Arabidopsis thaliana: one gene and its partner. The protein of the gene in region 1 interacts with the protein of each later gene in a biochemical or structural test. Each region holds a gene or a part of one and is shown on either strand. Other genes may lie near its edges.

Region 1 (3,753 bases):
CGTACAATCTTGGTTAAAAGTGTCATTTTTGGATCTTATCCATTACTATATCTGAGATTACCATTTCTGTAAAGAGTAAAGGAAAAGAAGCAATACCTGGGATCTAGCAAAGTCACGTAGCACACTTGTCGAATAGAAATTAGGTCCACAGTACCATCCAGGAGTATCAGCAGCATCCAGATAATCACTGTATAGAGTCGCTAAGAAAGCTGCATTTACAGAATATTGCAGCGGCTGTGGAGCTCCATGATTCAACTCTATTAAACCTCCTGCACATACCAAAGATTTCATTTTAGATATCTGAAACAAGAACAAGCCCCACAGTTGGAGTTTTATTAGAGGCAGACATTAAAGCTGGAAGGTAACTAACCATTGGTTCTGTTAAATTTGTTGAAAATAGGCAAGTATGAGCACATGACTATGCTGGTCTGATTGTGGAAGGTCCTTAGAATTTCTTCATATGGATATCCAGGACTCAGAAACAACCTCAACCGGCTCAACAGCAACTAAAATCGCAAAAGGGATTCAAAAGAGTCAAGAGTAGTATGGTTAAGGCAAATGATCAAGAAGACATGAATATCTAAGAAACATAAACACAGCAGGTTGTTATGTGTGGACTGACCTGAGCACCAGCAAGCTTGTTGTCCCAGCTAAATACACCATAGTAAGGGCCACCCCAGAAGGCACCAGCATGCTTGGCCATAGTAGGTTGGGTGATTAGATTGAGATACGTTACATTTCCGGTAGCATAATACATCCAAGCACCACCCCAAATGAACTCATCCCAATACATACTTGAATTATAGAACTTGCTAGATTCCGCAGTGCCTGCACTATATCTCCCTCTCCTCGTCCTTCCAAACTGATACACCACCTTAGCACCATGGACAAGCTTTTTAGAATATTCCTTGTTATCCTTGAATACAATAGATGCTGAAGCCAGAGCAGCTGCCATCTCTGCAGCGAGATCCGAACATCCACCATTACAAGTAGTCACGGGCCTTTTATAGTCCATATCCTCAGGTCGCATCCAACAGTAATGGTCATTAGGATCTGTATTTCCATCATCAGTATTCCCTGATCCAACCTACATTAAACATGTAACGAGTGAACAAACAACTCAATATGAAAGATCTCCTACGAAGGTCATAAACAAGTACCTGTGACACAAGATCATCAATGGAATCAGCAGTACTATTGAAAGTCTTGAGAAAGTAATCAGTTCCCCATTTGATAAGCTCCTTAACATGAGTGAGCTCACCAGCAGCTTCGTATTTAGCACTATATTCAATAACACTCCAGCTCAACATAGTCATAGCATAAGCCATGGGGAAATTGAACTTGATAGCATCACCAGCATCATAATAACCTCCCACCAAATCTTTATAGAAGCTTCCTGTTTCACCTTTCCCATCTTGAAGCCCAGAATTACCTCTCCATGACACGTTATTATGCTTTGGCAATTTCCCAGCTACAACAATCAAAATCAGACTTAGATCTAAAACTCTATATCTAAATTTTATCAGATCTAAGTAGATTCTACACTTACATTTCTGAGCATTGAAGAACTTAAGAGCTTTGTGTAGAGCTATAGTATAATTATCCGGCGGCGGAGTCTTAGGATGATGACGCGGCACAGTTTTAACGATCAAGGTAATGAATCCGGCGAGTAACGCGGCGGCAACAAGAGTACCAACAGTCCAGACGAAGATCTTGCGGCTAACGATAATACAACCGAGATCGACGTACTTCTTCTTCTTCTGCTCCGTTGGACCAAGTAACCAACTCTGCTGCGTCTCATCTAGTGGACGTGAAAGAGCCGCACGATCCAAATCGTTTAAATTCCGACTACGATCATCGTCGGTGGCGGAATCTGCAGTGTTTATCTCCAATGGACCTCCCCATGGATCTCTTCCGTACATGATGATGCTCTCTGATAAAGCAGCAGAGAACAACAACAATGAATCAAAGGTTTGGGATCAGATCTGGAGAAGAGAAGAGAAGAGAGAAAGAAGTAAAAGTGTGTGGAAGTGAAGAAATGTGAAGCTAAAAAGCTCTCTCTAGTCAATAATGTACAAAGACTCTTTGAGAGATCTGGTTTTGGTTTTTTACTCTTTTTTTTTTTTCCTTTTTAAAACTCACTTCAATTATTTTGTTATTATATGTTTTGTTTGGTTTATTTGTACATGTTACGTTACAGCTAACTCTAATTTTGGAATAGTATATTTTTGGCCAACTATGATTGAGCGTTTTGGCCAACTTGTAATCTTGTGTATTTATTTTTCATACAATTAAAATTTGTCGGAGACATTAAAATATTATTTTTTATGCACCGTTTTTTCTAACAAAAAATTGCATATACTTTGTTTACTAGTAAAGCAATGGGCTAATGTCGGGTGGATGGAAAAAGACATCTCCGCTAATAAACTGTCGGTGGGATGATAATTTTATTTTATCCTTTATGATTATGGTGTTTTACACGTCATCATTTCTGGTGGGCTCTAAGTAATGACATAATTTTTAAAAAAAAATTATAACAAGGAAGGTTACTTAAATTCTACTTCTACTTGAAAATGATAGTCTACCACAAAATTTCACTTACATTTGTTAAAATTTAAAACTTATAAGATAAGTGTGTCCGACAAATTGATGGTAGATCAATGACCTAAAAAAAAATTACATCTTGTGGTCATTTTTACGACTCTAATCCCTCACAGAGTAAGTAAGGAGAATTATGAGAATCTAACTTTTAATTTGAAATTAAATACATTCGTAATTATAGAATCTAATCCCTCATATATATATGAATATATCTCTACTTTAAAAAATTCCGAAAATATATGGGCAGCTATGTAATTATAGGACTTATCAGCTTGCATTTAATTAATATTAAATGTCCAATGTAGAAACACCAACAAGTGTAGAACTAGAAACCATAGATGCTCATACATTTGATTTCTACTTTATACATCGAAAACTGAAAGATAAACATACACATATCAACCATAGCTGTTTCCATAGTACATACTGACAGAGATTACCTAAAATATATGCATCAATTTGTCTTCGAATTTCCTTCCATAATGTTCTTTGGCCTTGAAAGCATCGTTAGAGATCGAAACTGTGGCTGTTGAAGTGGAAAAGAGGATGATTCGCCGATCGCCAGATGCTATGTGACCGTATTTCTTTGGCTACGGTCGTCTGAAGAGTCGCTGGACCGCATACTATCACTCCAACATCCACACTCCCCCATTTCCCATTCAATGACTCAAATATCTCTGCAATTACAAAATAAAAATATTACATGAACCAATCAAAGATTTAACTTAACCGAATCGAGCCAAATATCTACACCAAAAGTCGGATTCAAGAACCGAACGAAACCGTGTCAAACCGTTCCGAATGATTTCAGTTTCTATAATTTTATAAATAAAAAAACGAGATAACTGGACTTGACACCGCTAATTTTGTAGTGTATACCTCTAAAGGCCGGTCTGGTGCCATAACGAATAGTGGTGTAATTCTGGACATCTTCTTCTATTGCCAAGCCCTTAAGCTCTGCTGCAGATGGATTATGGGTTTCTTCTCCATTCAAATCTACCTTGTCGTTGCCATTTGCTTCCACTTCACCGGTTTTGTGTTCCCAGCGATGCCAGAAAACAACCACAAGACCTCCAAAAATCAAGACACTTGCAACCATACAACCAACAAATAGAAGTCCCTTGTACCACCACGTTGTTATGTTGTATCTTT
Region 2 (3,753 bases), on another chromosome or scaffold:
CATGTACTATCAGAAAAAAATTCTGTTAAGATTTGTTCACATATAACATTAACGTGAATAGTAAGTAATAAATGACCACTCTAGGGATTTATTGAGTAATACAAATCACTCTAGAGTCTAAAGGGAAAATGTAGGTCCCTACCGTATGGCCATGGGTGAGAAGAGGAATTGGTTGAGATTCATGTCTAGAGGAAGAAGAAAACTCTTCGCCATGGCGTTGGTGTCTCGCCTTGTTAGCTCCCTGGGCGTAATTGAACTCATTCTCGATATCATCAACATCATCCTCATCTTCATCTCCTTCAACACGAGGACTCCCTGGAAAATTCCAAAAAATTGTTCAACACAACAGCAAAGAAACAAAAAGAGAAAATCCATATATAGCAATTGCCAACAAAAAGAAAAAGACAACTGACCCCTGTGTCGTCTGAATCTAGTCTTGCATTGAGGGCAACACTGAGTTCCATCTTTCCTCTCGTACTCATAGCAAGGCCGACACACAGGGAAGGCACATTCATTACACGCGACAAAGACATCTCCAGTTTCAGCGAGTCCAACATCATCACCACAGATCTGACATATCTGGCCATTCATATTCTTCAAAGGTTTGGTCTGCACTTTGACCAACATTGCATCATTGTTAGTCATTGAGTATTAGAAACTACAGAAAGAGATGAGCAAGGATCTAAATCAAAACAATCAATGCAGATCTGAATTAAGGCGAGTCACAGTCTGTATCCCATGGCGGGAACTAACGAGATCTAGTTGAGCTAAATCTCAATAAGTAAAGCTAAACTTTAAGAGTCAAAGATTTTAGCTTAAAAAAGTTAACGAACTGAAATCCACCGACACTTTCCATAAGAGATTTTAAGAAAACAGATGCGGCATTAATTGATATAGATCACAACAATTTGAAGAATTGGAGCAGAAAAGTTTCCATTTTCAGACACTTACTTGATCAACTGACACTAACTAACTACACAGTCAAAGGAAGCGAAATCTGAGTTTCAATGATCCAATTATGGATCCAAAAGAGACGAGATTTAGAAACAGAGAAATCTAGATGAGATCTACACATCAAAAATTGTAAGAACGAAAAACAATAACAAAAAAATGGGAAAAAGGGAAGATGAACAGACCCCGCCATCAGATTCATGTCGGATCCGAACGAGCTCGTTTCTCCGGTAGGATCCAGCAACCAAGCCGGCACTGGCCTCCATCGCAGCCACCGACACACAGAGAAAGAGAGAGATTCACAAAATTCAAAATTGGGAAATTCGTAGCCGATTCAATACGGCATCTCGAAAACCCAAATCTACTAAAAAAGGATGTTCACACACTCCTCTGTCACTCTCTCTCTCTATTTGATATCTCAAGCTGCTTCTTCTTCAAATCTGCTTTTGCCTATTTTATCGCAGAGTGATGTGTTTTTTCTTAATTTTTAAATGACAAGTACATTATTTTACCGGAGATGGTGACGGTAGTAGTAGCCTCTTCCTCTCCCACCGTTTTAGCTCAGCTCGGCTCTATTCGGCTCAAGTTATCATCTCTCTACTTTTTAAAGTGAGCCGTTCTGGCTTCCCCACTAGACGCGCCAGCTTCTTAGTATGTGACGTGGCAAAATCTTATTGCAAGAAAGAGATAGGACAAAGTATGATTGTTTGATTATATTAAAAAAAAAAAAGAAGAAGCCACGTTGTTGTTGGCTCTGGTACCAGCCTGTTCTTTTTTATTTGCTATCACCTGTCGGTGGACTCAAAATAACTAGTGTTGATTAGGTTCTAATTGTTAGCTTAAGAAGTTACGGGCGAATTCGCAAATAATTTTTAAATGGATGCCACTTCTTTTTTTAATCCCATTTTGTTGTTATATTTACAAGTTTTAATTCAGTATACAGATTTCTGAGTTTTAATTCATTTTTTGTGTCAATAAACTTTTAACAAAAAAAATTCCATTAAGAAATCATTTTAACATTTTTATATTTAGTGATAGTGATAATGACGGTGGTATAGTGATATGATATATATGTAGGAAGAAATCGTAAATTATATTGATTATCCAAATAAATAAATTACGATGTCGTTGTTCTAAAGTTTGGTGACAAACGTCACATTTAGTTATGCTTAATTTTATGAAAGTTTAATTATTGGACCAAAACCAACTCCGCAACGAATAATGGAAGTTAACATTTGTCGGCAAATGGCAACAAAGAAAAAATGTCGGCAAACATCAACAGAAATTTTTAACAATCTTGGAGCATAATCAAACAAACATACGCAAAAGACAATGCTTATGTTTTACAGAAGTAAACTACTTACTCTCTTTACCATCTCTTCTCAGTAAAAAGAACAAACACTTAACTTAAGGGTAATCATTATTCATTAATCATAGGCTACTAATCCCTTTTTCCCACCTGGGCTATTATCCGAGGATGTCGAATCCGACTTCGATGGAGACCTTGCCTTGGATGGTGATCTTGACACTGATCTTGCTTTCCCCGTCCCAATGGGAGATTTTGAATATGACTTTGATCTTGATCTTGACCTCGATGGACTCAGGCTGTGGCTAGCGGATGGTGACCTTCTCTTTCTGTAAGGTGGAGATCGGCTACGGATAGGGCTGCGGCTGTACCGCCGGTTGCGATAACAGAGACCAGGCGATACTGAGCGGCTTCTTCTTCTATACCTGAGCATACTTTCGAGTTGTGAAATCAAGAATAATTCTTTTGGATCACCAATTTTAGTTCCATATTCATGAAACTTTTAGATGTAAAGAATCAGCTGAAACAATGTACTAAAGAGGATAAGTACCTTGGAGGTGTTCTTCCTCTTAGTGGGCTTCTGAACCGACTTGGCGAGAACCTTCTGCGACTTCTAAATCTACAGAGAAGACGTTATAAAAAAGACGGTTCAGTACGAGAGTGTGTAACAGAAAGGGGGAGTTATATTATGTGTGGGCTATTCACCTGTCACGGTCACTCCTATCACTAAAGCGATAAGGAGATCGATCAGGAGATGGACTAGTTCTGTATCGACGGGCGTATGAGAATCTTTGGCTAAATCCTCTCCCTCTCCTTATGCGCCCATTAGGAGAAGCACTTCTTGACAAACTTCTTCTGCGGTCAGGAGGAGGAGATCTAGGCCGCACACTCCTTCTCCTTGCCGGAACTGGACTTCTGCTAATTCTTCTTCTTCCTCTAACAGGACTCCTGCTGATACTTCTCCTGGACAATCGAATAGGACTCCTGCTGATACTTCTTCTGGACAATCGAATAGGACTCCTGCTCACACTCTTCCTAGATGATCGGACTGGACTCCTGCTGATACGTCTCCTGGATGAACGAACCGGACTTCTGCTCACACTCTTCCTAGATGATCGGACTGGACTCCTGCTCACACTCTTCCTAGGTGATCGAATGGGACTCCGGCTTAGGCTTCTCCTAGACAATCGAGTGGGACTCCGGCTCAGACTTCTTCTAGATAATTGAATAGGACTCCGGCTCAGGCTTCTTCTAGAAGATCGAACTGGACTTCTGCTAGGTGATCTTCTTGACGATCTTCTTAGTGGGCCCCTCCCAAGGCTTCCACGAGATGCAGATCTTACAGGACTCCGGCTAGGGCTTCTGGCAATCCTACCTCTCACTGGACTTCTGCTGATGACCCTTTTGGGGCTCCTCAGTGGACTTCTGCTTAAACTCTTTGAAGGACTTCTACTAATATCTCTTTCCTTTTTCACCCGCACCGGACTTCTACTAAC

What was found. Proteins that work in one complex are often made in the same cells at the same time.
Region 2: the proteins of GH9A1 (region 1) and CESA1 form a complex in vitro, tested with the Arabidopsis thaliana proteins (one study listed by BioGRID).

The regions. Positions count from the first base shown.
Region 1 is NC_003076.8:20,198,247-20,201,999, forward strand, and holds the start of GH9A1 (glycosyl hydrolase 9A1), read right to left. Parts: upstream 2,223-3,753; 5' UTR 1,923-2,222; coding exon 1,550-1,922; intron 1,472-1,549; coding exon 1,161-1,471; intron 1,088-1,160; coding exon 623-1,087; intron 507-622; coding exon 371-506; intron 270-370; coding exon 97-269; intron 1-96. Other genes in the region: FRO6 (ferric reduction oxidase 6), read right to left, coding at 3,109-3,278, 3,481-3,753. UniProt on the Arabidopsis thaliana protein: Required for cellulose microfibril formation. Involved in cell wall assembly during cell elongation and cell plate maturation in cytokinesis. Required for secondary cell wall formation in the developing xylem.
Region 2 is NC_003075.7:15,645,172-15,648,924, forward strand, and holds the start of CESA1 (cellulose synthase 1), read right to left. Parts: upstream 1,674-3,753; 5' UTR 1,218-1,673; coding exon 1,137-1,217; intron 610-1,136; coding exon 414-609; intron 316-413; coding exon 143-315; intron 1-142. Other genes in the region: AT4G32420 (Cyclophilin-like peptidyl-prolyl cis-trans isomerase family protein), read right to left, coding at 2,379-2,682, 2,808-2,876, 2,963-3,753. UniProt on the Arabidopsis thaliana protein: Catalytic subunit of cellulose synthase terminal complexes ('rosettes'), required for beta-1,4-glucan microfibril crystallization, a major mechanism of the cell wall formation. Involved in the primary cell wall formation.